2 linked regions of the Elephas maximus indicus genome follow. The protein of the gene in region 1 purifies or fractionates together with the protein of each later gene. This does not show direct contact. Links are inferred from orthologs where the notes say so. Each region holds a gene or a part of one and is shown in the gene's direction. Other genes may lie near its edges. The genes, in order: DNAAF2 and UBE3D.

Region 1 (15,999 bases):
CCAAATCGATTTCCAAAGTGGTTGTACCATTTACATTCCCACCAGCAGTGTATAAGAGTTCCAGACTCTCCACAACCTCTCCAACATTTATTATTTTGTGTTTTTTGGATTAATGCCAGCCTTGTTGGAGTGAGATGGAATCTCATTGTAGTTTTGATTTGCATTTCTCTAGTGGCTAATGATTGTGAGCATGTCCTCATGTATCTGTTAGCTACCTGGATGGCTTCTTTAGTGAAGTGCCTGTTCATATCCTTTGCCCATTTTTTAACTGGGTTGTTTGTCTTTTTGTAGTTGAGTTTTTGCAGTATCATGTAGATTTTAGAGATCAGGCACTGATCAGAAATGTCATAGCTAAAAACTTTTTCCCATCCTATAGGTAATCTTACTCTTTTGGTGAAGTCTTTGGATGAGCATAGGTGTTTGATTTTTAGGAGCTCCCAGGTATCTAGTTTCTCTTTTGCATTGTTAGTAATGTTTTGTATACTGTTTATGCCATGTATTAGGGCTCCTAGCATTGTCCCTATTTTTTCTTCCATGATCTTTATTGTTTTTGATTTTATATTTAGGTCTTTGTTCCATTTTTAGTTCGATTTTGTGCATGGTGTGAGGTATGGTTCTTCTTTCATTTTTTTGCAGATGGGTATGCAGTTATGCCAGCACCATTTGTTAAACAGGCTGTCTTTTCCCCATTTAACTGACTTTGGGCCTTTGTCAAATATCAACTGCTCATATGTGGATGGATTTATGTCTGGATTCTTAATTCTGTTCCATTGGTCTATATATCTGTTGTTGTCCTAGTTTTTGTACTAGTACCAGGCTGTTTTGACTACTGTGAACATATAATGGGTTCTAAAATCAGGTAGACTGAGGCCTTCTACTTTGTTCTTCTTTTTCAATAGTGCTTTGCTTATCTGGGGCCTCTTTCCCTTCCGTATGAAGTTGGTGATTTGTTTCTCTGTCTAATTAAAAAATGTCTTTGGAATTTGGATCGGGATTGCATTGTATCTGTAGATCGCTTTTGGTAGAATAGACATTTTTACAATGTTAAGCCTTCCTATCCATGAGCAAGGTATGTTTTTCCACTTATGTAGGTCTCTTTTGGTTTCTTGCAGTAGTGTCTTGTAGTTTTCTTTGTATAGGTCCTTTACATCTCTGGTAAGATTTATTCCTAAGTATTTTATCTTCTTGGGGGCTACTGTAAATGGTATTGATTTGGTGATTTCCTCTTCGATGTTCTTTTTGTTGGTGTAGAGGAATCCAACTGATTCCTGTATGTTTATCTTGTATCCTGATACTCTGCTGAACTCCTGTATTAGTTTCGATAGTTATCTTGAGTATTCTTTAGGGTTTTCTGTGTATAAGATCGTGTCATCTGCAAATAGAGATACTTTTGCTTCTTCCTTGCCAATCTGGATGCCCTGTATTTCTTTATCTAGCCTAATTGCTCTGGCTAGGACCTCCAGCACAATGTTGAATATTTCAAGAGTGGTGTTAAAGGGCATCCTTGTTTGGTTTCCGATCTCAGGGGGAATGCTTTCAGGCTCTCTCCATTTAGGATGATGTTGGCTATTGGCTTTGTATAAATGCCCTGTGTTATGTTGAGGAATTTTCCTTCTATTCCTATTTTGCTGAGAGTTTTTATCATGAATGGCTATCGAATTGTGTCAAATGCCTTTTCTGCATGAATTGATTAAAATCGTGAGATTCTTGTCTTTTGTTTTATTTATATGATGGATTACATTAATTGTTTTTCTAATGTTGAACCATCCCTGCATACCTGGTATGAATCCCACTTGGTTATGGTGAATTATTTTTTTGATAAGTTATTGAATTCTATTGGTTAGAATTTTGTTGAGGATTTTTGCATCTAAGTTCATGACGGGTATAGGTCTGTAATTTTCTTTTTTTGTGGTGTATCAGGGATATGCTGGCTTCAAAGGATGAGTTTGAGAGTACTCCGTCCTTTTCTATGCTCTGAAATAGCTTTAGTAGTAGTGGTGTTAACTCTTCTCTGAAAGTTTGGTAGAATTTTGCAGTGAAGCCGTATGGGCCAGGGGTTTTTTTGTTGGTAGTTTTTTGATTACCTTTGCAACCTCTTCTTTTGTTATGGATCTATTTAGTTGTTCTACCTCTGTGTTAGTTTAGGTAGGCAGTGCGTTTCTAGGAATTCATCCATTTCTTCTAGGTTTTCAAATTTGTTAGAGTACAATTTTTCATAGTAATCTGATATGATTCTTTTAATTTCAGTTGGGTCTGTTGTAATATCGCCCATCTCATATCTTATTCGGGTTATTTGCTTCTTGTCCGGTTTTTCTTTTGTCAGTTTGGCCAATGGTTTATCAATTTTGTTAATTTTTTCAAAGAATCAGCTTTTGGTCTAGTTAATTCTTTCAATTGTTTTTCTGTTTTCTATTTCATTTAATTCTGCTCTAATTTTTATTATTTGCTTTCTTCTGGTGCCTGAGGGTTTCTTTTGTTGCTTTCTATTTGTTCAAGTTGTAGGGATATTTATTTGATTTTGACCTTTTCTTTTTTTTGTATGTGTTCATTTATTGATATAAATTGACCTCTGAGCACTGCTTTCGCTGTGTCCCACTTCTGATAGGAAGTGTTTTCATGCTCATTGGATTCAATGAATTTCTTTATTCCAACCTTAGTGTCTTTTTTGAGCAGGGTATTGTTCAGTTTCCAGGTGTTTGATTTCTTTTCCCTGCTTTTTTGTTATTGATTTCTACTTTTATGGCCTTATGGTCAGAGAAGACGCTTTGTAAAATATTTCAGTGTTTTGGATTCTGCTAAGGCTTGCTTTATGTGGTCTATTCTGGAGAACGTTCCATGTGCACTAGAAAATATAGTTGGCTGCTGTTGGGTGGAGTGTTCTGTAAACGTCTATAAGGTCAAGTTGGTTGATTGTGGCATTTAGATTTTCTGTGTCTTTATTGAGCTGCTTTCTGGATGTCCTGCCCTTAACTGAAAGTAGTGTGTTGAAGTCTCCTACTACTATTGTGGAAATGTCTGTCTCACTTTTCAAGCTCTTAGCATTTGTTTTATGTATCTTGCAGCCCTGTCATTGGGTGCATAAATATTTAATAGGATTATATCCTCCTGGTATATTGTCCCTTTAATCATTATATAGTGTCCTTTCTCATCCTTTGTGGTGGATTTAACTTTAAAGTCTGTTTTGTCAGAAATTAATATTGTCCCTCCTGCTCTTTTTTGATTGTTGTTTGCTTATTTTTTCCCATCGTTTGAGTTTTAGTTTGTTTGTGTTTCTAAGGTGTGTCTCTTGTAGGCAACATATAGACGGATCATGTTTTTTATCCGTTCTGCCACTCTGTGTCTCTTTATTGGTGCATTTAGTCCATTTACATTCAGTGTAATTATGGATAGGAATGAATTTAGTGCTGTCATTTCATTTTGGTGTCTTTTTTTGTGTGTTGCTGACAGTTTCTTTTTCCCACTTAATTTTTTGTGCTGAGTAGTTTATATATTGTCTTTTTCTCTTACTCGTTGTTGATTTTGTTTCTGCTGAGTCTCTATTTTTTTTGTGTGTTTTATTTTGTTGTGTAGGATAGTTAGTCTTCTTTGTGGTTACCTTAATATTTATGCATATTTTTCTAAGTTTAAACCTAACTCTTATTTCTTTATATTGCTTTGTCTTCCTCTCCACGTGAAAGATCAGTGACTACATTTCTTAGTCCCTCTTTATTGTTTTAATGTTGTCTCCTTTTACATAATAAGATAGCTGTTTCCCCATTTTGAGCCTTTTTTTATCCTGTTTTTGTGATTTCCATGTCTGGGTTGACATCTGATTGCTCTGTCCAGTGTTCTAGTCTTGGGTTGATACCTGATATTATTGATTTTCTAACCAAAGAACTCCTTTTGGTATTTCTTGTAGTTTTGATTTGGTTTTTACAAATTCCCTAAACTTCTGTTTATCTGGAAATGTCCTGATTTCACCTTCATACTTGAGAGACAGTTTTGCTGGATTTATGATTCTTAGTTGGCAATTTTTTTCCTACAATGCTTTATATAAGTCATTCCATTGCCTTCTTCCCTGCATGGTTTCTGCCGAGTAGGCCGAGCTTATTGTAGATGACTTTTCATTTATCCCTACCTGCTCTTAAAATTCTCTATTTTTGGTTTTGTCAAGTTTGATTATAATATATCTTGGTGACTTTGTTTTAAAATCTACCTTACGTGGAGTTCGATGAGCGTCTTGGATAGATATCTTCTCATCTTTCATGATATCAGGAAATTTTCTGCCAACAAATCGTCAACAATTCTCTTTGTATTTTCTGATATTCCCCTGTTCTGGTACTCCAGTCACTCGTGGGTTATTTCTCTTGATAGAGTCCCACATGATTCTTAAAATTTCTGCATTTTAAAAAAAAATTTTTATCTGATTTTTCTTTAAATATATTGGTGCAAAGTGCTTTGTCTTCAAGCTCACCAATTCTGCCTTCCACTTGCTCAATTCTTCTCTTTCTATTGAGTTGTCTAAATCTGTCTAAATCTGTAATTTTATTGTTAATCTTCTGAATTTCTAATTGCTGTCTCCCTATGGATTCTTGCAGCTTATTAAATTTTTCATATGTTCTTTGAACCTTTTTAATTTCTTCAGCTGCTTTATCTGTGTGTTCCTTGGCTTGTTCTGCATATTGCCTGATGTCTTAAAGGGTTCTGTATATTAATCTTTTGTATTCTGCCTCTGGTAATTACAGGAATGCACTTTCATCTATAAGATCCCTTGATTCTTTGAGAGCTTGTTGAAGCGATCATGGTCGGTTTCTTTATGTGATTTGATATTGACTGTTGTCTCTGAGCCATCTGTACATTATTATTTTGTGTGCTTATTGTATCCTAGCTTTTTGCTTCGCTTTGTTTTGATATGCCCAAATAGGTTGCTTGCTTGAGCTAGCTTGATTACTTTCGACTTTGAAGCTCTAGCGTCCTGTCACCAGATGCTTAGAGCTGTTATTAGGTGTATCAGTCTAGAAGTCCGTTCACTTTCCTTGTATGGATTCAGCTCATGTGTCCAGGTAGTTGTTCATCAAGTGTGTGGTACAGGCTCTGTCCTACAGTCTTAGAAGGGCAGGGGTGATTGGTGTAGGTACCGGTATCTGGTTGCAGCAGGAGGTCATGTTCTGAACAAGGCAGGGGTCTCAGAATTGTCCCCCAAGTGTCTCTGAGGAAAGTGCATCCCTGTTCCCTAGAGTGTACAGGTGGGTGAGTTCTGTAGACAGTCTACGGGCACCCAATGCTTTAGGTTTTAAGGACCGGGAGGTACTAGTTATTCTTGGATGCCTGTCGCAGGTGTTTGGGTGACCTGAGTAGAGCCACGAGTCCTTAGGCCCCTGATGTGGGTAGGTGAGGACCGTGTTTAATAGGCAATGGGGTGTCAAACATCAAACACCCACCTCTCTACCGTACAGCTGAAACAGTTGCTGTCTACCAACAAGGGCGTATTCTCCTGTAATAGGCCCACACAGGTCCACACAGGGGCAAAAGGTATTCAAAGTCGACACACTGTCTATGTCTGGATAGGAGCTACTTCTATCAGGCGCTCCCCAGGTTAGTGGAGCTGGCAAATTATCTTTTCCCCCAATTGCAACTTTATTCCTTCTCCAAGGCTGAGAGAATCGCTCCTGGCTCTCAACAGGGCTTATCCCAGGCCCAGGGAAATCAGAAGCCAGCTTGGGGGCAGGGGGCACGGAAAAATATATGCAAGTACTCAGCTTTTGCCAAGAGCACCGTTCTTCTCTGGATCTGGAGGTGTTGAGTAGGCTGTGCGGCTGGTTGCTTCTCCCTGAAGAAACTGCAGCCGAACGCTACCACCAGCCCCCTGCAGCCACTCCTGGGAATGGAGCCTGAGGGATCCCAGTGATCCGGGGCTGGCAACTCCTCCGCTTTTGAACTATCTCTTTCTCTCCCTGCCACTCAGTCTGTTTTCTAACTTGGCCTTTGATGTTCAGGGCTCCTAGCTTGTCATAAATATAATCATTTCACTTGTTTTTTTGGGTCTTAGTTGTAAGAGGGATTGCCGGAAGCGTCTGGCTATTAGCCATCCTGACCCTGCCTTTCTACTTAAATTCTTATAGCATACCAGGCACTGCTTAGTTCTTAGAATATAAACAGACACTCATAAAAATCACAGATATCCTAGACCCGTGTTCTGTAAGTCTAATGTGTTTGACTTTATGTAGCCTGCACTGAATACTAAAAAAAAAAAAAAAAAAAATTTGGAATACCCTTCAGTGCTCTTCTCCAGTCCCTCCACTCCCTGTTGTGTACCTGTGTACCCCGCTGCCCCTGAAGGCATTTAATTTTGTGACCTTGGGATTAAGCCATTTCTGAGGGCTGTGTGCCTTTAGATTGACTTAACAGAGATTTGGGTTATGCTATCGACATAAAAAAATTAGTCTGCTATGAAAACCAATATTGGGCAGTTTCAACAGGTCTCAGGAGAAGAGAAATCTGTCTGTCCCAAGTAAATGTAAATCTTCCAATTGTCTCCCTTCACTTTGACTGCTAGGAAACGGTGAAATTTGCAGCCCACCTCTGTCATGCAGACGATTTACTAGTTTAAGTGGTGGGTGCTAACCTCAGCCCTTGCTTTATCTTTTTTTCTGATCCCTATTTTCCCTTTACCTGAATTTCCTCATTTACTTATTTTTCTTATTTATCTGTACAAGCCATTTTATATATATTTTTAATGAGATGGTATATAATAAACCTAATAGGAAATTAACTGAGGTATTGTGATAGCATAAGTCATTTCAGTTATATCTCCTGTAATGTTCCCTGATTGCTTTGTGTTCTGAGCACTTTATGCAGCTATTACAGTTCTTTGCACGTTGCATTAGAAGTCATTAATGTGCATGTCCCTCCTAAAAGTTTCTAGCATAGGATCTAACATAGTATTTGACTTGTAGTCAGTGCTCACTTAGTGTTTGTTGAATTGAAACAGGTTCCTGTATCTTCTGTGGACACAGATGCTGAAAAGCCTTGATATCATTTCCAAACTGTGGCTTAGTACTGATAATCCGAGGAATCTTTTCAGTGCTAAATCCAATATAATATCCACACTCCCAAATCAAAACTTGATTTATGTTTTTTTTTGAGAGAACAGAAAAAAATTTCAAGATATAGTAAAATAATTTCGTCTTCCTGCTACTTAATGCCTAGGAGATCTTGTTAGAATACTTGTGAAATCATATTGTACAGTTAATCACAAAAATGTAGGCAGAGTAGATTAAGGTTAACCCTGTTTCGATATGTACTTTCAAATACAGTTGTTTTATTTAAAAACTCAGTATTGGCGATGTAGTCGGAAATACGCATTCACATACATTGTTGGTCAGAATGAAACCTTATAGAGGGCAATTTGACAAGATTTATTAAGATCTAAAATGCATATACCAGCAATTCAATTTCTAGAAATTTATTCTACAGGTATGTATATGTAGGCTTATGCGTAAAAATAAAGGTTTTTTTAATTGGAGTTTTATAGTAAGGAATACAGCATAGCAATGAAACCATTTAAATGTATTTTTATTTAAATTGTGTGTATGTATTCAGAAGTTTTATTTAAATTTCAAAGGCACAAAAGAAGGGGTTGGTTAAGATATAAATGTACTTACTAGTAATTGGAAAAAAAAGTGTAGAATAACATGCATCGTATTCTACACTCATGTATGCATTTTTAAAGGATATTCCACATACAAACATGCTGTTATATGATTAGACTATAAGCATACACAAATCTGTGTGAGGAGAAGTGAGGTATGAGACTGGCTTACTTTTCAGTGTGTGCTCTTTTGAATTTAGAACCATGTGCATGTATTAACCTATGTTTTAAGTTAATTAAAAATAAATATTAAGAAATATATAATTTGTTTCTAAAAGGTTTAATTTTTTCACTTTTTTCTGTTTTCAGCAAACTTCAAGGCTTTTGAGATTCTTAAAGACCGTATGAGGAAACCAAATTCATCAGTTTCCTGTTTAATTTTATATTTTATGTAATTTTGATATTAAGTTATAATAAAATTATGGTACTTTACGAAGTTCTATCAATTTATATTAGACAAATTTTTTATATTAAATCACAATAAACATGACGGTATACTTCAGAAAATTTTATAGGAAATATATTTTCTACAGTCTTTTAAGAAAAATATGTGGATATGTGCAAAGATATTATCTAGGTATACTTTTGCACTTAAAATATAAAGTTTTGTTTCTCTGTAATTGTCATACATGTTAACTTTAAGAAAAATACAAATATTTAAAAGTGCCCAAATCATTGTTTTAGTCTTAGGTTTTTATCACCATAAGAGTCCCAACAGTATGCTCAGCATTTTTCAAACTGTCTAGATTTCAGTCACAGAATTTCTCCCACTGATTTTGCTTCAGGACCTTAGTTTGATATTCATTACACAGACACAGAAGTTTTTGGTACTGGAAATATAAAAACAAACAATCCCTATAGTTTTAACATTTAGAAGACATGTTTATTTTGAAGCAGCATGTTTTGTTGTTTTGTACGTATATCACTCAACACTATCCTTTTATTTATCGTGTAGTTTAGGGACTTGATGGAAAGATAGCCCAGAAATGAATCTGAATGAGAGAGGCTGTTAGGCAGAGGTACAAAGGATGTTTCCAATGTAGTAGTAACATTAGAAATTACAAAAAGCCTGAATGGAAGATATTTATTTCAAATAGAATTAGTTTTTTTGGGAGGAGATACTAATAAAAAATAAAAATGGCGTAATGAAGAGGAAATTCCTGGAAATTTAACCTGAATGCAGTGTTAAGTGAATTAGCAGTAAGGAAGACCTGGCAATTTGAGATGTGTTTTGAAGATGGAAAATTCGGGAAGCATGTAAGAAGGAACCTGATGTTAGAAAAGCAGGGTTTTATAGCTTTGATTTCTCCAAGAATAGCCTGGAAAAATTGGAAGTTTAAAGATAAAATCAAGGCACAGGTTTAAAGCCACTAGATTGCTTGAAAAAATTTACATTTTGGGCCTTGAAAGTCGTAGTGAAATAGACATAAGGTTTGTTCGTCCAGTTATCCAGTTACGAGAGCCGTAGAGCTTTATATGAATGATGGCAAGTGGATACCAGGTGTTCCTATTCACTCATTAGTTTAACAAATAATTGCTTCCATAATTAAAGCTGCGGTATTTTGAGATCTTTTCAGGAAATCTGTTAATGACTAGAAGACAGGGTACACTTAGGGGCCAGATAATTTGAACTGAAATGAAGCAAGGCAATTTACTAAGAGCAGGTAAGATGTCAGTAGCAGGAAATAGGTCACGGAATAACACAGGAACTAGAAACAGGTGGGTCAGCATCATCCAGAAATCAAAGGTGGGTAAAAAGTTAATTATAGAAGCAATTATTTGTTAGATGAATGAGTAGATGAACGAAGGGACACCTAGAATCTGGTTTCCATTTATAATTCTTTACCCATCATGGATAGGAAGCAGAGATGTGAAAGATGGGCCAGCAATGAGCACTGAAAGGGTATGCTGAGCTTATGCTCTTGGGAAAAACAGGGTGTGCTCCCTGATTCAGTGTTTAATCAGCTGAAGCAAGGCTGATCTCGCCGTGGTACAGGAACCTAAAAAAAAAAAAACGAGAAACCCAGTAACCCATAATTATTACTGTACTTGGTTTAAAAAACTAAGAAGCCAGTTTTTGCATTTCAATCATACCACTCGGATTCCTTCCCTCCTGCCTGGTGTCAGCGCCGTCGCTATGGCAACGGCCACGCGCTGCCCACGGCTCAATTCTCTGGCCGTTACTGACCACGGCTGCTTCACTCGTCGCGGACCGGGACTCCACGGTGCCTTCCACTCACCCTGCCTCGGATTGATCCCCCTTGGCCCGAGGGCAAGGCTCTACGGGGCAGCATGGCGAAGGCGACCAACTCGTCGCCGCTGGAGGACTTGGACCTAAGCGGAGATGAGGTACAGCGTCTCACCACCGCCTTCCAGGACCCAGAGTTCCGGCGGCTGTTATCCGAGTACGCCGGGGAGCTCACAGACCCCGAGAACCGAAAGCGCTACGAGGCGGAGATCACTGAGCTGGAGCGTGAGCGCGGAGTGGAGGTTCGGTTCGTGCACCCGGAGCCGGGCCACGTACTGCGCACCAGCTTGGACGGAGCGAAGCGCTGCTTTGTGAACGTGTGCAGCAACGTGCTGGTGGGCGCGCCGAGCAGCCGGCCCGGCTCCGGGGGCGCGGCGCCGGGCCACCACTGGTTCCTGCCCCACAGCCTGGCTCCAGGCCGCGAGTACGCGGGGCGCCGGGGCACTCGCTACACGGTCTACGACGTGGTCTTCCATCCAGACGCGCTAGCGCTCGCCAGGCGCCACGAGCGCTTCCGCCACATGCTGGACGCCACGGCCCTGGAGGCCGTCGAGAAGCAGTTCGGCGTGAAGCTGGACCGCAGGAATGCCAAGACCCTGAAGATCAAGTACAAGGGGACTCCGGAGGCCGCCGTGCTCCGCACGCCACTGCCTGGGGGTGCCCCGGCCCGCCCCGAGGAGGAGCCGGAAGGCCCTCTTTCCGATTTCCCTTACCCCTACCGGTACCCGGGGGCCTCCGGGAACTCGGCCGTGCCCCAGCCCCAGGCTCCCGCCCCTTCTGGGCCGGCCCCGCCCCCCGCCCCCACCGAGCCTCGCTACAGCGTGGTGCAGCGCCACCACGTGGACCTGCAGGATTACCGCTGCTGCCGGGACTCGGCTCCGAGCCCGGTGCCCCGCGAGCTGGTGGTCACCATCGAGCTGCCGTTGCTGCGTTCGGCCGAGCAGGCAGCCCTGGAGGTGACGGGAAAGCTGCTGTGCCTTGACTCGAAGAAGCCTGACTATCAGCTGCGGCTCTCGCTCCCGTATCCGGTGGACGACAGCCGCGGCAAGGCGCAGTTCAACAAGGCCCGGCGACAGCTAGTCATCACGCTCCCTGTGGCGCTACCTGCCACGCGCCGGGGGCTCCCGGCAGCGCCGGAAGGGGCGGTGGACCCGCCCGGAACTGACGGCGGGTCGTGCGCTTCCGCTCGCGAAGGGGAGGCAGGCCAGGGTGGGGGTCACGCCGAGGACCGAGACTCGAGTCCCAGCGGTGCCGGTGCTGCAGACGCCGGGATCGCCACCCCGAGCGCCCCCGAGGTGGCGTACTCGCCTGCCGGCGCTGGAGAGGAGATTATCCCCGAACAGAAAGAACAGGACTCCGGCGGGCACGCGGACGCGGGGTCGCCGCTGGGCAATTGGGAGGACTCGCCTACAGGAGCAGGGAGCGTCTCTGGCGACGGTGGCGGAGGCTTTCCTTGTGTTTCAACCGGGAACCTTGACGCGGGGTCTTCAACAGAAAGAGGGGGTGAAGGCAGAGATTTCAGTGTGCAGACGCGCGGGGGCTGCGAAGGCGCTGACCGAGAGCCCTCTAACGGAGCCATGGGTGGTCCCGGGACCCAGAGCGGGGAACCTTTGTGTCCTCCTTTGCAGTGTAATCAGGATGAAGAATCCCTGATTCTACTAATTCAAGTTCCACGGATCCTGCCGCAAAGTCTTCGAGGGGATTTGAACCCCCTTCGGTACAAATTGTGCTTCTCCACGCAAGACTTTGTTTTTTATTCCTTCTTTTTGCAGTTTGCTCCAGAGAATAAATTGAGTACCAAAGAACCCGTGATTAGCATTTCTTCAAACAATGCAGTGATAGAACTGGCCAAATCTCCGGAGAGCCATGGACATTGGAGGCAGTGGTATTACGGTTTAAACAACGATTCTTTGGAGGTAACAATTCTTCCTAGAGCCTTATGTTTGAAAGGCTCCATTCCGTTTTAAAATTTTCTATTACTGGCAGCCTCACTATTTATCCCCCCCCCCAAAGCACTTCCTATCAATGACTTGGAATTGGTAATGAATTGAAATTGATGAAAGATGTCAGTTGTGTTAAACGTTCTCACAGTATTTTGAAGAAACGAAACCGAATCCATCCACTACGGTGAATGGGTTTCAAATCTTCAAAGTTGTCCTAATGTAGGAGTTGTTTTCCTGAATTCCCAGCGATCCGTGGACCTCTGAAATTGTTTGCAAAAAGTTTAGCGTGCTTTTTTTCTTGAGAGAAGCTGTAACTTGTCATAACCTCGAAGGGGTTTGTGATCCACAAGTTTAAGAACCATTCCCTAAGGACCATATTTGAAGTTTGTAAATCACTTTTTCTGAGTTTGTTGTTAGGTGCTGTCGAATGGATTCTGACTCGTATCATCCCAATGTGACAGACTAAAACTGCCTGATAGGATTTAAAAAAAAAAAAAATTTTTTTTTTTTTTTTTTTTTAATCTTTACTATAGCAGATCGCCAGATCTTTCCCTCCTTGGCGCCGCTGGACGGGTTCGAACTACACCACCGAACTTTTGGTTAGCAGGAGGGTTTACCCATTGTACCACCAGAGCCCCTTTTCCGAACTTGGAAAATTAATAAGAATAATTTACTTCCGGAGAGAAAAAAAATAACTCAGCCAGTGCCACACAGATGTAGGAAAAGGAAGTCAAACCCAGATGTGATTCCAAATCCCTTGCCCTTCCCGCCTTATGGTGCTGCTTAATTTTAGTCGCCGATGGTGGGGTTGCCCTCTGCTGGGTACTGTATATCTCATTGAAGTTACCTCTTTTTATGTCTGTTGGAATCATGTTTGTGTCCCTATAGGGTCGCTATGAGTCGGAATTAACTTGTTGGCAACTAGTTTGGTTTTGGGTTTACTAGTAGTATCTAGCACAATGTCTGGCACTTAACAAAGTGTAAAGGTAAATGTTTGTTGAACTGAACAGCGGCTACATCAGCTGGCAAATACTTCAGAGCTAAATTGAGCATACCTGTTTTCTTAGGTTATAATTCTGATGAATAATTTAGCATGTGTGGTGTAGTTGCTGCTATACTTTTTAGGTTATTGGCGTTCCTGAGTTTCAGATTCAGTACTTCACCCAAATATTGAATGAACTACTTAAAATTTGAAGTTGTAAAAAACTCTTTAAACTCAATAATTAGCAGTTCATGATTTTGAGTTATGTATCAACTTTACATGTAACTTGTTCTTTTAACATATTCAGGGTCAAGTTCTCAGAAATAGCACTAGTTGCACAGATTATATATTAAAAATTAAGTACTTGACCCTGGGTTTAACCTGCCAGAACTTTTTACATCTTCCTGTTGTTTTTATAAAAACCCATTGCTGAAGGAGAATGAAGAACACCAAGGTCACACGACAACTAAGAGCCCAAGAGACAGAAAGGGCCACATGAACCAGAGACGTACATCATCCTGAGACCAGAAGAACTAGTTGGTGCCCGGCTACAACCGATGACTGCCCTGACAGGGAGCACAATAGAGAACCCCTGAGGGAGCAGGAGATCAGTGGGATGCAGACCCCAAATTCTCATAAAAAGACCATACTTAATGGTCTGACTGAGACTAGAGGAATCCCGGCAGTCATGGTCCCCAAACCTTCTGTTGGCACAGGACAGGAACCATCCCCGAAGACAACTCATCAGACATGAAAGGGACTGGACAGAGGGTAGGAGAGAGATGCTGATGAAGAGTGAGCTAATTATATCAGGTGGACACTTGAGACTGTGTTGGCATCTCCTGTCTGGAGGGGGGATGGGAGGATAGAGAGAGTTGGAAGCTGGCAAAATTGTCACGAAAGGAGAGACTGGAAGGGCTGCCTCATTAGAGGGAGAGCAAGTGGGAGTAAGGAGTAAGATATATATAAACTTATATGTGACAGACTGACTTGATTTGTAAACGTTCACTTGAAGCTCAATAAAAGTTAATTAAAAAAAAAAAAAAAACCCATTGCTGGCTAGTAGATTCCGAATCATAGCGACCCTATACGACAGAGTGGAACTGCCCCATAGATAGGGTTTCCAAGGCTATGATTTTTACAGAGGAGCCCTGGCCTCCACGGTGGTTAAGCGCTGGGCTGCTAACCTAAAGGTTGGTGGTTTGTACCTACTCGCCATCCTGGGGAAGAAAGATGTGGCAGTCTGCTTCTGTAAAGATTACAGTCTTAGAACCCCATGGGGTAGCTCTACTCTGTCCTATAGGGTAGCTATGAGTCTGAATCCATGGCAACTGGTTTTGGGATATTTGTGGAAGCAAGACTGCCACATCTTTCTCCCAGATCAGCTGGTGGGTTCAAACAATCATCCTTTAGGTTAGCAGCCCAACACTTAACCGTACCACGGGGGCTCCTTGTTTTTATAGGAGTTTGCTAATAAGTTACATGTACATTTTATGAGTTGGGCCTCTTCTTTGAGAATTGGTTAATTTGAAACTCCCCCAAAAAGGTAAAATAGCCAGCACTAGGTAAGATATTTTGTGAGAATATGGTAAAATTGAATTATCTGTTTATTTCATCAGAAAGGGGAAATTTAGGAAAGGACAGTCATTTTCCTGTAATTGTTTTAACAGTTATGAAAATAAGTGTTTGTGCGAAGAAAACCTTATGGGCAAGTAGTTAAGAGAATTCTGAAGAATATATTTTAATCTGATTTCTCAGTATGCTAACAGATTAAGGCAACTTTTTTTTTTTTTTAATATCTTTAAAGTCTGGAATAGAAATATAATTACTTCATTAATCATCATGTTTGCTAAAGCTGATGGAACCCTACTGTCCAATTCTTCCATTTTTCATTGTGTTGTATCAGGCTCTAAGTATTAAATTAGAAGAAAATTCACAAGAGAATAGATATAAAATATATCATTATTATTTCATATATATGAAAATGATTATAATGTAGAGACTGTTTTGTGGCTGTAGAGGTCAGAATTGTTACTTTACACATAAATACTGTTGTTATTGGTTGTTGTGGAGTTGATTCCAACTCATAGGGACCACATGTGTTACAAAGTAGAACTGCTCTGTAGGGTTTTCTCGGCCCTGGTGGTGCAATGGTTAAGAGCTCGAATCCACCAGCTGCTCCTTGGAAACTCTGTGGGGCAGTTCTGCTCTGTCCTATAAGCTCATTACGAGTTGGAATTGACTTGATATGGGTTTTTAGAATCTTAACAGAAGCAGATCACCAGGCCTTTTCCTCCATAGTGCTGGTGGGTGGGTTTGAACCACCAACCTTTAGGTTAGTAGTTGAGCACAAACTGTACCACATAGAGACCTTAAAACAAATATTAAATATATTTATATAAGCTTTAAATATTTACTGGGAATTGCCCTACAGCTTCAAGACCACTGTCAGTATCTTTTATAATAAAACCAGGCACCAGGATGAGAAGGCAAGTTTATGCAAATCCTTTGTATTTTAATCTTAATCATTTTCATTATAAATATTTTTCCTTGTGTTAACTAAAGATGAAAATATTTGATGTGTTTTTTAGCAGTCAGGAAAAGACCAATGTATAAGTCTTTTCTAGAAAACAAACCTTAGAAATGCTTTTGATGGGGATGTTTCTATAATACAGTGTTAGCCTGGATCTTCAAATAATAGCAAAGCAAATTACTGTAGATGTAAACAGTTCACTTTGGGAAAAACAACTCTTCTGCTGAGTTATTCACTAGAATCATAATATATTCTCATAATATATATTAAGAAACTGAGGGTCCAAAAGCATAGTATCTATAAGTAGCTATAAAGTTGGGTAAAAATACAGCCTAGAGAGCCTAGAGAGTGTAATGTGGGTACACCTTAAAAATTATAAATCCAATGAAAAGGGCCAATTCTGCATTTCCCCCTGTTGATTCAATCTGTTAAAAAGGAACTCTAGTTATGTTTTCTTAGAAACAATAGTCGTAACTAGTCTTTATTTGTAATAGATTTCAAATATGTATGAGTGACATACCATATATACATACCTTCCACTTCTAGTTTTATATAATATATGGCCTGACTGAAGTAATCTTATAAATTAATTTTATAATACTGTCCTTTTTAGTTATATACCATTATTGTATTGTGGGACCAATTATTTTAGGATTCAAAGTT
Region 2 (15,852 bases), on another chromosome or scaffold:
AAGTTTATATTAATATTTCATCATTCCTGAATCAATGGTTATCACGTTGTCATATTATAAAAAGTTCCCACTGGGTTTTAGATTCAGATTTCTTTCTTTTGATTCAAAAGTTTATCTTAAAGCTAATGTGTTTGAATAACAATAAGGTATTAGTGTTTTACTTGTAAAAGTAACATTAAGAATATTTTTGACTGGCTATCATTACCAAGCATTCTGATCAAAGATTCTATTGAAGAATCATGATCAAAAGGGGAAAAACGCAAAAACAGAATTTCAAATTCTCATGGACTCCAGACTTTCTGGAGCCATAGAGGCTGAATGAACCCTTGAAACTACTGCCCTGAGATAATCTTTAAGCCTTAGACCAAAAATATCCCCTGAAGTCTTCTTAAAACTAAACAACAGATTAGCTTAACTAGTAAACTGTTTGCCTTGAATACTGTGCTCTTTCAAGATCTATCTGTATGGGATCAAACTGACAACAGCAACTCAGAAGACTAGATAGGAAACTTAGGGGGCAGTGAGTAACTCAGAAAAGGAGGGTGAGAATGGTTGCACAACTTGAAGAATGTAATCAATGCTACTGAATTATGCATGTAGAAACTGTTGAATTGGCGTATGTTTTGCTGTGTATATTCTCAACAACAAAAGAATTTTTTTGAAAAAATGTAGTCATGTATCTGATTAAATAAAATCATATTAATTTTTCATCTTCATACTGTAAATATGTATGCAAATATTGTAAAAAGTGCATTTTACAAAAAAGTGCATACTGCACTTTTTAAGTTAACTGTAGTACATTTTAAAATCTACAATAGAAACTTTATTTCATAATCCTTACACAGATAAAGTTCTAAGGAATTTTCAAGCCTGGATTCATTCAGTATTTCCCAAAATTGGGGCCACCAACTCAATGTGAGATAATTTTATGGGACCCAAGGACACGGCTAAGCAATAATGAATTCTTTGAGGATGCAATTTCCTGTTCAATCTCTTTTACTTCCTCTGACAGCATCAAAAATAATGTCTCAGTTTGGTGTCAGAATGTTATAATGCCTCTGTAATTCTGGATAATATTCCTTAACCAAAGAGTAGCAAGTCTCAGGCTAAAAGCCTTCATAGGCAATAGTTTCTAGCTATAATTTAATAAAATTGCTTTGTTTTCAAGTCCCAGAGTGGTAAAAGTAGTTAAGTACTTGATTACTAACCAAAAAGTTGGGGGTACAAACCATCTCAGAGGTGCCACAGAAGAAAGGCCTGGAGATCTGCTTCTAACAGGTCACAGCCTTAAAAACCCTATGAAGCGCAGTTCTACTCTACAACACATGCAGTCTCCATGAGTCAGGATCAGTCTGATGGCAACTGGTTTGGGTTTTGTTTTCATTATTTTTAACTTCATGCCACTTTCTATTTATGGAAAGTGATCCCCGCTTTTTATTTATGGTAGTTATTTCAAGTTTCCTTTAAAAATAATTGCATTGACTTAAAGAAATATTAAGAAAATAAATATATAGGAATATGCACATATGGCTGAAATTTCGATGATGCTATAAGACTGACTAAAGTTTGGGAAACACTGCACTAATCTATTTGGTCAGCAAATAAATACAAATGTCTATTACGTGCATGACATTGGTTTAGCCATTGTTAAGGACAGAGAGAGAAGTTCAAGAAAATGTTCATAGGAAGCCTATTAGAGGAGGAAATTAGTTCAAAATGAGGTATTCACTTTGAATCCATCAAGGATTCACAGACAAGTTAGCATTTGAGCCAGGACTTGAAAGATAGGTAGGTATGATTTAGATGTGTAGAGACAGGAAAAGCCTTTCAAGAGAGCGGAAGCATACCAATATAGACCTGAGCAGTGGACATCCTCCATATCCTGACTGCGGTGGTGGTTACATAGGTGTGTATATATTTGTTAAAGCTCAATGAAATGTATACTTAACATGGGTATACATTATTGTATGTAAATTTTACCTTAATAAAGTTGATACAGTATCTTTGACCTATGCAATAAAAGTATGGGTCAAAGATCATTGAAGTTGCAGGCATGGAGAGCTTGGACAAGGGCTGTTATAAGTTGAATTGTGTCCCCCCAAAAGATATGTAGAAGTCCTAGCCCACCTGCCCACCCTCCCCCCTCAACCCTCAATGAACTTGTGAATGTGGTTTTATTTGGAAATAGGGTCTTTGCAGATGTAATTAAATTAACATGAGCTCATATTGCCTAATCCAGTATGAGTACTATGCTTATAAAAAGAAAAGAGGAGACACACAGGGAAGAATGACCATGTAGAGATAGAGGCAAAGACTGGAGTTATGCTACCACAAACCAAGGAATGCCTGGGGTCACGGGAAGCTGAAGAAGCTAGTAAGGATCTCTCCCTAGAGCCTTCAGAAAAAGCATGGCCCTCCTGACAATCTGAATTAGACTTTTAGCCTTCAAAACTGAGAAAATAAATTTCTGTTGCTACAAATCACCCAGTTTGTGGTAAGTTGTTAAGGAAGCCCTAGGAAACTAATACAGGTGGTAAACACAATAAGGAGAAAAAACAAATCACTATTTAAAGACAAGTGGATCAATGTATTTATTTTCATATAATAAATTCTCAGTATAAACTGTTAGCTATCACACAAAAATATTAGCTCTTAAACTACTTAAGAGTTTTATTTCAGACAGAGAATTTATCAAAGGTTTATCTATTTCATGGATTGAATTGTGTCCCCCCAAAATATCCGTATCAGTTTGGCTAGGCCATGATTCCCAGTATTGTGCAACTGTCCACCATTTTGTAATCTGATGTGATTTTCCTACATGTTGTAAATCCTATCTCTATGATGTTGATAAAGTGAGATTAGCAGCAGTTAGATTAATGAGGCAGGGCTCAATCTACAAGATTAAATTGTTTTAAGCCAATCTCTTTTTGAGATACAAAAGAAAGAATCAAGCAGAGAGACATAAGGAACTCATACGACCGAGAAAGCACCACCCAGAGCAGAGCAAGTTCTCTGGACCTGAGGTTCCTGTGCAGAGAAGCTCCTAGACCAGGGTAAGATTGATGAAAAGTACCTTCCTCCAGAGACAACAGAGACAGAAAGCCTTTCCCTGGAGCTGACGCCCTGAATTCTGACTTCTAGCCTCCTAGGCTGTGAGAAAATAAATTTCTCTTTATTAAGGCCACCCACGTGTGGTATTACTGTTACACCAGCCCTAGATAACTAAAAAACCCAAGCAAATCCACTGCCATCGAGTCGACCCTAGAGAACAGAGTAGGACTCCCTCATGGGGTTTCCAAGGAACACCTGGTGGATTTGAACTGCCGACCTTTTGGTTAGCAGTGGTAGCTCTTAACCACTAGCCATCAGGGTTTCACTACATAACTAAGACACCTATTAAAATTCAACATCCTGTTCCTATCCTTTCCTACAACTGGAAGCCCTAACTAAGCAACAAAAACAGAAGCACCCACACTTTCTGCTTTCAGAATTTAACAACAACAAAAAAAAGAGTTGATTGTACTCAATACTTAGATACTGTGTGTTAGCAACGAAGAAATAACTGTTTTAGCATTAATGTTTTTAACCTTTAACTGGCTTTGATGATCTATGCTCTTAAAATTATTATTTAAGTATATTTCCGGTAGCTTGTATCACTTTCATAGTTGTAAGAATTCATTATTAGAAAAGGCATATCATTCATGGTAAAAACAATGCCATCATCAAGACTTTACTTGTTGCAACTTTAAAATGCCATAAAATCAGTAACTCAACCACAGAATCAAGTTCAAAACATGAATTAATTATTTTTAAAGAAAAGCATCAAGAGACCAGGAAAGGGGGAAAAAAAAAAATCTTCACCATAAATTAATGAATGAAAGCTCATGAAGACCCATGTGCATTCTTAATATTAATATTAATAATAGAAGCCTTTTCCTGAAACCAGTGAGAGTTGCCACTAGATCTTCCTGCTCAAGCATGAAGCATACTTCACACTTAAAACTGACTTGGTACTTAAAGCATAACGCATGAAATTTTAGAGCTGAAAAGGAGACTCAATAATCACGAAGCATAGCAATTTTCAAATTGGTGTTCTATGTAATTATATTCTAGGAAATGTTAACAGGTTGGCCATGAGAAAATAGGATCTCGAGCCAGGTAAGTTTAGGAAATGCTGTGATAACCTTCCCCTGGAGATATACACTGCATATTAGCATAGTGAAGGTTTGAGGAGTCCTGCAGTTAAAAGCAAATCAAAAAGTCATTTAACTTGGTTTAACCCAGTGTGCTCCCAAATTATTTCCTATGGAACACTGTTTTGGAGCAATGAACTTATTAACAGCTTTAGAACAATGTTCAGGAGAAACATCCATTTGGAAAACTCTGACTTTGTCAAATTCCCTTAAGTAGATAACAAAATTGAGGCCACCTGATTAGTGGCAGAATAAACTCGAACCTAAATCTTATTCCAGCAGAGCTCTTCCTACTACTTCAACTACAAAATAGGTCTCTTTTGACTATGTACAGTGACAACATTTAATTTACATCTAACAGTTTGTCACTGGCATCACATTTTCTGGTTTGTGTATTAACTTAGGTGTTTTAATTCTTCCGGCAAGAATTGGGTCCCCAATAATCAGGCCCATCTGTATATTTGCCATTGCTTAGCAATTCTGAGGAATGATTTAGAGTGGTGGCTGAAAAGTAATGACTAAAATAAAGCATTTAGCCTGCACGTGGACAATTTCTATTAGCTCAACTAAATCACTGTATTGCCTATCAGGTGGTGAGTTACTTAGGACAAAATGTTTACATATGCTATCCATAAACAGACCTTAAAAGTAGCCCACATTAATTCTGACATATAAAATTAAAATACAAGATCTTATACCTGCGTAGAAGACAAGCAGTCAACATGAGTAGGAATCGGCTCGACGGCAATGGGTATATATATATATATATATATATATATATATATATACACATAGTTCAAGGCTTGTTTTTCGGCAAATAAGCTCTTAAACCCATTGCAGTGGAGTGGATTCTGACTCACAGCGACCCTGTAGGACAGAGAGCTGTCCCATAGGGCTTCCAAGGAGCGGCTGGTGGATTCGAACTGCCAACCTATTGGTTAGCAGCGTAACACATAGCCACTGCGCCACCATATTTGTGTGATCATAAAGAAAAAAAATAATAAAAGCAAATTGCTTTAACTACAGTCTCCAAATCAAATTTTTCCAATCCTTTTATTTCTCAAATTCCATAGTACTCTAAAATTGAGTAAAAATCAAAACACAACTGACATAGCTTTAAAAAAGTAGCTGATTATGTGTACCCCTTCCCCCAGCCACCCCACCAGGGTAAGTAAAAAATGGAGAAAACCGAACAAGTAACTATTGTTATGTTGCAACTTTAGGGCTTGGAAATCAAAGGTGATAATTCTTAACAACTTCCGTAAGACTAATCCGACTTCCTCTTAATAAACTTCCGTACTCCCTTCTAACCCCCTCCCGTGAACATTTACCATAGCTGACATTCTTCTCTCCTCAAAACTAAGAGAATCCAGAGTCAGTGAGGCGACACTACGCACTGATTGCGCCAACAAAGAGGTTATTCCCCGCGCCTTTACCGCAGAGGTGCGACCTGCCCCACAACCTCATGCCCAGCTCGTCCCCGGCTACCGGGCGCTCCGGACCCACCCCTGCCCAGGGCGGCCCATGCGCCTCCGCCCGTCGGTCCCCGCGCAGCTCCCGCATCCCCGAAACCCAGAGGGCGGCCAGCGGCTCCGCGGCTCCAGGCGGGGCCGGGACGCGACAGCCCGACGCCACAGTAAGCCCGACTCCAGAATGAACCAGTCCGAGGAGGTCGCCTTGGACCGGCGGCCCGCCTCGCGACCGCACTGGGGGCGGGGACGCTGTTACCTGCCCTGGACTTGCCCGCTCCCGGCCGGCGCCGCTCTCCTGGCAACCGCGGCAGCTACAAGGAGGCCGGAGCCGAAGGGCCTGGTGACAGCTCCCAGAGTGCACCGCGCTCGCGGCCACGCCGGCGTCGACGTCGACCGCCCTAGATCTCCGCCCCCAGCCGGCTCCTCGCCTCCCAACTGTCGCCACAGCGCCCTCTACCTGCCATTTCGGGTAAGCGACTTATCGTCATGAACCGCAGAAAACCCAACCCCAACCCGTTGCCGCCCAGGGGATTATAGCTGCCCCACAGGGTTTCCAAGGAGAGCCAGGTGGATTTCAACTGCGAACCTTTTGGTTAGCAGAGGGTAGTTCTTAACGACTACGCCACCAGGGCTCCTAAACAGCAGAAGTGGGGCGGAAAAGAGGCTTTTAGTAGGTGTTTTCAACTTGCCAGGGCCAGTCCCGTTTAGATGCAGAGTATGAAGCGAAGTGAGGAATTGAATAAGCTGGAGGATTCCGCCTGTATGAGTTACTCGAGGCCCGAGATTAGGAGACAAATAGTTGCAGCTATTTTGAGGCTAAAACTCTAAATCACTTCAAGTTACTCAAAGGAGGATCGCACCATTTTGCCTAGACTGTGAGCCAGAACAGACTTGAAGGCAATGGGTTTCGTTTTTTTGGTTTTATAGGGTCAAAATATGATGAACACTTTTTTTTTTTTTTTACAATAAGTGGCTTCATATAAAATCTAAAAACCACTAACGATAATCAAACACCATGAGGGGCATATTATGCTAAGAATGTTAAATATTTTAATATAATGTATCAATATTTTAAGCCTTTAGTAGCCCTGGAGATTATAGGTGGATGATGATAAGAGGAGTTGAAATCATTGTTACCTGATTGGGGTCTGTGCCCTGGAGCAGTCGAGCCAATGAAACACACTCCAAGTCAGAAAGAGAGAGAAAGTTTAAGGAGATGTATACATCATCCGCGACCGAGCAGCAACACAGGCTGTCTCTATGGAGTCCCAAAGAGCAATTTTACATTAGAGTTTATATAGAATCTTACAAGGGTTAAAAGTGTCTTTGTAGTCTGAAGATGGCCTGGCCAGAGGAGTTACTCATTATAGTATCATGACAAAAGACTCTTTATCAGACTAAGGAGACACATGCCCACATCTCTTTATCAGGCTAAAGATATATGTATCAGACACCTGGGCTCTGATTTTCCTGGGGGGGGGGGTCGGTTTAAGTCACAGGTGGTCAGACAGAACAAAACAAAGTTATTTGCATCAGACTAAAACAAAGAACAAAGTCATTAGCATTAGATCAAAACAAAGTCATTAACAGAGGTCTGTGAAGGAGGAGGCAGGCAGAGGAAGGAGAAGAATTTATAGGTTCATTATGGCGTTATGTCAACCTCTTAGTTGCCCATTTTGAAAAAGGAGAAAACATGCTGGGGTGTATTGGGATCACAATTACCCTAGACGTAGATGAATTATTTGAGATGGAATAGTAGTAAACTCAATTCTCTGAGTTGTTACCTCGATCCATGATTTCAAATTACTGTGATAGATACACAAATCTGTGCAACAGATGTCTATCAACATAAAACACCCAAATAATAATTTTAGAATAATAGTCTTAAGCTGGTATCTTTGAAGAAGTGGATTTATTTATTTGGAAATGTTTTAATATTTTTGGTGTGTGATAATTATGACCTTGAAATTACAAAGCAACATCAATAAACATAGAATCTTACATATACAAGTCATGATTGCCTGTTTTTAAAAACTAACAGCTTCTTGCTGGTGAAAATGGACACAAAAGGAGAGAGGAGGGAGAGAGCAGGCTGTCTTATTAGGGGGAGAGTAACTGGGAGTGTGTAGCAAGGTGTATATGGGTTTTTGTGTGAGAGGCTGACTTGATTTGTAAACTTTCACTTAAAGCACAATAAAAATTATTTTAAAAAACTAACAGCTTCTTGTTTTTAAAGAAGTCCTATTGTAACACTACTTATATTTTAATATTTAAAGTGAACTTATATTTTAATAATTCCTAGTTCCCAGTTAGAAGTATTTAAATTATACTAGGTCCTTTCCTTCACTATGTCAACATTTCCAAAATTATAGTAATAGCGTAATATTTACACTTCCCTGCGTCAGTTTTTACTGTATAGTTGGAATCATCCTCACTTCCTTTTTTTCAAGAGTTATATGAATGCTTAATCCTGTAATTCAACATACTGAGCTTCAGCCACACATCCTCCTGAAGACCAAACCCGTTGTGGTCGAGTCCATTCCGACTCACAGCGACACTATGAGGCACAGCAGAACTGCCCCACGGGGTTTCCAAGAAGGAGCTGATGGATTCCAGCTGCCAACCTTTGCTCCACTCTTCTGAATAGGTAACAGAAAACTTTATTACGTTGCATTTTTTTTTTCTGGCAACTGTTTCAGTCTTAGAGAGATCATGTCCAAGTTGAGAAGGAACGCGAAGTCAATCCTTGACATTCGTTGCCTTGGATGGAGATAAACTACCAATCGACCCTAGTTCATAAAAAAGAGAACAAAGTAAAATGGATTTAGGGTGGGTAGTTCTGCTCTGGAAACCGTGGTGGCAGTGGTTAAGAGCTACGGCTGCTAACCAAAAGGACAACGGTTCGAATCCACCAGGTAGGTGCTCCTTGGCAACCCTATGGGGCAGTTCTATTGTTCTTCTAGGGTCGCTGTGAGTCCGAATAGACTCGACGGCAACGGGCTTGGTTTGCGTTTTTTTAATTCTACTCTTGGGCTCCCTGGAAACCCTGGTGGCTACTGGTTAAGTGCTATAGCTGCTAACCAAAATGTCCGCAGTTCAAATCCACCAGGCACTCCTTGGAAAAACTATGGGGCAGTTCTACTCGGTCCTATAGGGTAGCTGTGAGTCTTTTCTTGGGCTTCACCGGGTGGTGTCCACCTGCATCGCCTCCCTCTATGATCTCCCTCTCTTCATGTCCCATCCTTACCCAAGTTCGCCAAAGAGGTGTACCCCGAAATAATTTTTGTTTTCATTTTCAGGAAGACTAACGCTCCAGGCCACGCCCATGAGTAGCGGCCTCATAGGATAGCCTAGCTCTCCCCGCCCACCTGTCTCAGCATTCCGTGCAAGAGCGCACGCCCCTCCGGTCCATATTCCTCGTGGCGCGTTCTCCGCCCGGCAGGTGGCGCTGTGGGCTAGGAGGCCTCTCCAGCAGTGCGTCCGATCTGGGCGGGCAGCTGGGCCGCCGCCGCTCCTGCTGCATGTGCAGCGGGTCGGCTCCCGGTGACCCGGTTCGCCAGAATCTCAGGCTCTGTCTAGCCTGGGGCGGGGGCTCCCGCCATGACGGCGACGGCGGCCGCGATGCGCATGTTCCTGGAGGTCAGGAGACGGCTGCAGAGCGCGCTGCTGATCGTGGGGTAAGGCCTGGGGCGGGCGTGTGGGCATCCAGGCGCGGTGGCCAGATGGCTTTTCTGTTGCCCCGGGGTCTCCGCCTCCCTCGAAAGGTCGGGTTTTGAGTTTCTTCTTTCGAGTTGCTAAGAGCCTCTCGTTAATGAAAGTGGAGCCCTCCTGCAAGAGTAGTACTCCGACTGGTAGCCTCGGAATCATCTGGGAGCTTTTTCGAAATGCAGTTTCAGCCCCACACCAAACTTTCTGAGTCGGAATTATTCCCGGATTCAAATGCATATTAACGTTTGAGGAGCAGTGATGTAAAATACTGCTGGCAGTGACCGGGCGTTTTCCAAAGTAACAGTGCAAAAAATGGGTTGTGTGGTTCTGTTCCGGACCCTCGTTATGGGATCAGTTCCAATGTGCGAGCTTCCTGTTTTGTAAATACCTTCTGGTCTTCTTGCCCCTCGCCGCCTCTCCACCCTTCCAAAAAAGAAAAGAAAAAAATACCCAGCTCGCTGCAGAGAAACTGATACAGTCATTCAATTAACGTGTGTTCAGTGAGCGAGTAACAAAGGTTGGGGACTTCTTATTGGAACTCATTCTTTTATCCTATCCCAAGTTCCAATGGGAAGTGTGCAAACGTTTAACTCGTTATTCACTACACAAACAAGAAACTTACAAGAAAAATACTCCTTTTGCTTGGCAACAGTTTTAATGGTGTGTAGTCCCGTCACCTATTTTCCTGAGACTGCTGTTTCAAATAGAGTAAGTTAGATGTTAAAATCCTCAAAATGTCATTTTTATTATATAGCGCCACTCCGAGGTAAATTGATGCTTAGCTTTTCCTCTTATTCTTAAATCTGGTGTGGCAGCTTTAAATTTGACGTGAGATCTGGGTTGTATCCTTGCTTTCGCACAAGCATAGAATCATTTAATTCTAGTTTATTAAATTGTAAGGAGCCCTGGTGGCGAAGTGGTTAAAGCGCTTAGCAGCTAACCTAAATGTCGGCGGTTTGAACCCACCAGCCGCTCTTCCGCAGATGTGGCAGTCTGCTCCTCTAAAGATTTGCAGCCTTGGAAACCCTATGGGGCAGTTCTACTCTGTCTTATAGGGTCTCTCTGAGTCAGAATAGACTCCACGGTAGTGGCTTTGGTTTCTTCAATTGTAAAATGGGTATGATATTTATCACTATATCTATCAAACTATCTAAAATGATGAGTTCACACAAATATCTCCAGTTCCAGTCCATCTTGTAGGGTTTTTGGAAGCCTCAATAAGATCATGTATGTATAAGACTTAGTTAAATTTAAAGCATCATGAAAATATAGATGACTTTATATTTCAGATCACTTTAATTCCTGAATTTCAGCTCCAGAAAAGATTTTTTTTTTTTTGTAATTTGTTGGTTTCTCCAATCCTCCCCCACCATGTACTAGAGGAAGTGACTGTGCCCAGCATCAACAGGTGGATTCATGTGTGCCTTTATTATTTATACATAATATAATATTATTTATTCTGCTGCCAGGATCCTAGGCAATATTACAGAGTCCTGGCCACCTTGCCCTTTCCCTCCTCCTGGTGCCACCTTCTCTCTGGGGCTGGTATCTGAGCTCCCCTGTACTTGTGCACAACCATGCCATTCCTGAAACCTAGGAACCCTCTGAAACTTTAAAAATATATTTCATATATATTGCTCACTTTATTCTTTAGCAGCTCTGATTTTTGCAGATGATGAGTGTTTATCGAGATATAACTTATATATAATAAAATACACAGATGTTGTGTTCAGTTTGATGAGTTTTGTGGAATGTATACATCTATGTAAGCACAAACCAGAATAAGACACAGAACACTTCTGTCACTTCAGGACATTCTCTGGTGCCCCTTTTAGGTGAGACTAAAAATTAGCCCTGCTAAGGTCCCTGGGAGGCACAAGAGGTTTGCCTCAACTGCTAACCTAAAGGTTGGCAGTTAGAACCCACCCAGTGGTAATGTGGAAAAAAGGCCTGGCAATCGGCATGCATTAAGATTACAGCCAAGAAAAGCCTATGGAACAGTTCTACTCTGTAACACATGGAGTCACCGTGAGTTGGAATCGGCTCGATGGCAACCAGCAATAAGGATAGATGCCTTTTATTTTATAAGAAACTGCCAAACCGTTCTCCAGTGTGGTTGTACGAGTTTACACTCCCACCAGCAAAAGAAAAAGAAAAAAAAGAGCTCCAATTGCTTTACGTTTTCACCTACATTTAATGTTATCAGTCTTTTTTGATTGTAGCATTCTAGTGGGTATAAAGTGGTACCTCATTGTAGTTTTAATACGCATTTCTCTGATGACTAATAATGTTGAGTAGCTTTTCATTTGCTTTTTGGCTATTTATATGTGTTCTTTTGTAATGCGCCTGCTATGATATTTTGCCATTAAAAAAAAAATCAGGTTGTTTGTCTTATTATTGAATTGAAAGAGTTCTTTAATTTGGAAACAAGACCTTTCTCATACGTTTGAAAATATGTGGATATTTTCCTCCCAGTCTGTGACTTGCCTTTTCATTTTCTTTGTAGTGTTTTTTGATGAGCAGAAGAAAAATAGTTTTAATGAAGTCCAGCATATCATTTTTTTTAAGGTTTTTTTTTTGTGTCTTAAGAAATCTTACCTCAAGGCTTGGAAGATTTTTTCATATATATATATATATTTTAATAGAAATTATATAGTTTTAGCATTTACATTGAGGACTATGAGCCATGTCAAATTAACTTCTGAGTTTAAAATGAAGTAGACATCAGAGTTCTTTTTTTTTTTTTATAAGGATATCCAGTTGTTCATCAGCATTAGTTGAAAAGACTATCATTTCCTCATTGAAAAAACTTAGCATCTTCATCAGAAATCAATTGACTATATTTGTGTGGGTCTATTTCAGGACTGTTTGTTCTATTCTACTGATGTTTTATCTTTCCTTAAGCCAGTATAATACTGTATTGATTATTGTTGTTATTGTTAGGTGCCATCGTGTGGGCTCCAACTCATAGCAACTCTACGTATGACAGAACAAAGTGTTGCCTGGTCTTGTGCCATCCTTACAATAATAGGCATGTTTTAACACATTGTTGCAGCCACTGCATCAATCCATCTCATGAGAGTCTACCTCTTTTTTACTGACTCTCTACTTTACCAAGCATGATGTCCTTCTCCAGGGACTGTCCCTTCTGGTAACATGTCTGAAGTAAGCAAGACAAAGTCTTGCAATCTTCACTTCTAAGGAGTATTCTGGCTGTACTTCCTCCAAGACAGATTTTGTTCATACTTCTGGCAGTCCATGGTATAGTCAATATTCTTTTCCAACGCCATACTTTAAATGAGCCAATTGTTCCTCAGCCTTCTTTTTTCATTGTCTAGCTTTCCTGTGCACAGGAGGCGATTGTAAACCTCACCGCTTGGTTCAGGTGCACCTTAGTCATTAAAGTGATATCTTCGCTTTATAAGATTTTAAAGAGATCTTTTGCAGCAGATTTGCCAATTCAAAAACAGCTACAGCCATAATTGACGGGAAACTGCCAGAAATTCAAGCCAGATTCAGAAGAGGACGTGGAATAAGGGATGTCATTGCTGATGTCAGATGGATCTTGGCTGAAAGCAGAGAATATCAGAAAGATGTTTACCTGTGTTTTATTGCCTACACAAAGGCATTCAACTGTGTGGATCATAACAAATTATGGATATGGAAATTTCAGAGTACTTAGTTGTGTTGATATGGAACCGGTGTAGATCAAGAGGCAGCCATTGAAACAGAACAAGGGGATACTGTCTGGTTTACAATTCGAAAAGGTGTGTCAGGGTTGTATCCTTTCACCATACTTACTCAGTCTGAATGTTGAAAAGATAATCCAAGAAGCTGGAGTATATGAAGAAGACTGTGCCATCAGGCTTGGAGGAAAACTCATTAACAACCTTTTTTTTTTTTTTTATAATACAAATGACAGAGCCTTGCTTGTGGAAAATGAAGAGGACTTGAAGCACTTACAGTATTTTTATACAAAATAATGCATGCCTTCTAAGTTTGTTTGCCAGCTTCTCCCTCCCCTCATGAGGTGTTTCCATAAGTACCACTATGCCAATTTTTGCATGTTGCTGTAGAAAAAAAAAAATTTGCATAGCGCTTATAAAAATACCTCTTGGAGGGGAGGGCACAGTTGGCAAACACAGAAGGTGTGCATAATTTGCATAAAAATACTGTACTAACAGATCAAAAACTACAGTCTTCATTATGGATTATACCTTAACACAAAGAAAACAAAAATTCTGACAACTGGAGCAATAATCAACATCATGATAAACGGAGAAGATACTGAAGTTGTCAAGGATTTCATTTTACTCAGAGTAACAATCAGCAGAGAGTAGAAACGCCCCATAGCATTTGGAAGGCTGTAATCTTTATGGAAGCAGACTCTGCCATATCTTTCTCCCATGGATCCATTAGTGGTTTCATATCTCTGACCTTTCGGTTAGCAGCCTGGCACTTTAACCACTGTGCCACTGAGTTCCCCTTCACAAAGTAGCAGCAGTCAAGAAATCAAATGACTGTCTTGATTAGTGTACCTTTAAAGAAAGTCTTGAAATCAGGTAGCATGAATTCTCCAAATTTGTTCTTTTTAAAGATTATTTTGAATATATTAGAGCTTTTGCATTTCCATATAAATTAATTTCTAAGGAACCTTAGTGGTACAGTGGTTAAGCACTCGGCCGCTAACCAAAAGATCAGTGGTTTGAACCCACCAGCTGCTACATGGGAGAAATGACCTGGCAGTCTGCTTCCATAAAGATTGAAAAAAAAAAAAAAAGATTATAGCCTTGAAAATCCTGTGGGGCAGTTCTCCTTTGTTCTACAGGGTCGCTATGAGTCGAAATTAACTCAATGGCAATGGGTTTGATTTTTAGTTTTTGTCATTTCTACAAAACATGCTTGATGGGATTTTGATTGGGATTACATTGATTCTACAGTGAATTTGGGAAGATGGCCTTCTCAACAATAATGAGTCTTCTAAACCATAAACATGGTAAATCTCTCCATTTATTTAGGTCTTTAATTTCTCTCAACAGTGTTTTGTAGTGGTCAGTATAATGGTCTCACACTTGTCTTACTAGATTTATTTCTAGGTATTTGATGTTTATGATTCATTGTAAGTGGCTTTGTTTTTTTAAATTTATTTTCCAATTGTTTGTTGCTAGTATCTAGAAACAGAATTTTTATATACTGATTTGTATCATGCAAACATGTCAAATAATTATTATTGATTCTAGAAGATTTTTTTTTTTTTTTAATATTCCTTAAGGTTCTTTTTATGTACCCAATCATGTCTTCTGTGAATAATAATCATTTTACTTCTTTCCAGTCTGTACATCTATTATTTATTTTCCTTTCAGTATTTTATTGGCTTGGACCAACATTCAGTAGAAGTTGTGAGAGTACACATCTTTGCCTTATTTCCATTCTTAAGGAAAAACATTCAATGCGTCACCATTAAGTATGATGTATGCCATGGGTTTTTTAAAATTAGGTAGAGGATGTTCCCTTCTAATAATAGTTTCCTGAGAATTTTTATTAGGAATGGTGTTAACTTTTTTCAAATGCTTTTTCTGCGCCTATTGAGAGAGATGATTATATTTTTTTTCCTTTAACTTTTAATATGGTGGATTCCATTGATTGAGATTTAAATGTTAAACATTTTACTTTCCTGAGATAAACCTCACTTTGTCATGATGTATTACATTCATATATATATACACCGTAAACCTGTTGCCGTTGAGTTGATTCTGACTCATAGCAACCCTATAGGACAGAGTAGAACTGCCCCATAGGGTTTCCAAGGAGTGGCTGGTGGATTCAAGCTGCTCACCTTTTGGCTAGCAGCCAACCTCATAACCACTACTGCACCACTAGGGCCACACACACACACAAACACATTTCTTTTATGGCTTATTAAGGATTTTTTTTTTTTTGACCTATGTTCTTGAGGGATATTGGTCTGTAGTTTTATTTCTTGTAATGTCTTGGGTTTTAGTTTCAAGGTTATTTTTTCCTCATGAAACAAATTGAGAAGTGTTTCCCTCCCTATTTTCTGAGTTTCTATAAGATTGGTTTTATTTCTTCCTTAAATGTTTGCTAGAAATTATAAGAAAAGGCATCTGGGCCTGGGATATTCTTTGTAGGGTGGTTTTAACTGCAAAGTCTATTTCTTTGATATAGAGCTATAAGGCTTTCTACTTAATCTATCAATTTTGATTGTGTTTTTTCAAGATTTCTGTTCATTTCCTATAAGCTGTTAAATGTTGTATAACGTTGTTTATAATATCCCCTCATTGTCCTTTTAAAGTAGTAATTTCTCTGCTTTTGTTCACGATACTGGTAATTTGTTTTCCTTCCTCTTTTTAGTCTAATCAGTTTTGCTAGGAGGTTGTTAATTTCATTTATCTTTTTAAGGAAACAGCTCTTGGCTTTAGTACTTTTTCTCTATTGCCTCTTTGTTTTCTATTTTATTG

What was found.
Region 2: the proteins of DNAAF2 (region 1) and UBE3D purify together in Homo sapiens (affinity purification with mass spectrometry; 4 studies listed by BioGRID and IntAct, counting the BioPlex papers as one, with this or other methods). This does not show direct contact. The link is inferred for Elephas maximus indicus from reciprocal best matches to the Homo sapiens genes DNAAF2 and UBE3D.

What each region holds. Positions count from the first base shown.
Region 1 is NC_064828.1:61,934,832-61,950,830, reverse strand, and holds the start of DNAAF2 (protein kintoun), read left to right. Parts: upstream 1-9,922; coding exon 9,923-11,794; intron 11,795-15,999. Other genes in the region: POLE2 (DNA polymerase epsilon subunit 2), read left to right, coding at 7,940-7,958. UniProt on the Homo sapiens protein: Required for cytoplasmic pre-assembly of axonemal dyneins, thereby playing a central role in motility in cilia and flagella.
Region 2 is NC_064819.1:146,741,546-146,757,397, reverse strand, and holds the start of UBE3D (E3 ubiquitin-protein ligase E3D), read left to right. Parts: upstream 1-9,000; 5' UTR 9,001-9,265; coding exon 9,266-9,342; intron 9,343-15,852. Other genes in the region: uncharacterized protein LOC126070060, read left to right, coding at 4,916-4,919, 5,530-6,134, 8,116-8,133. UniProt on the Homo sapiens protein: E3 ubiquitin-protein ligase which accepts ubiquitin from specific E2 ubiquitin-conjugating enzymes, and transfers it to substrates, generally promoting their degradation by the proteasome.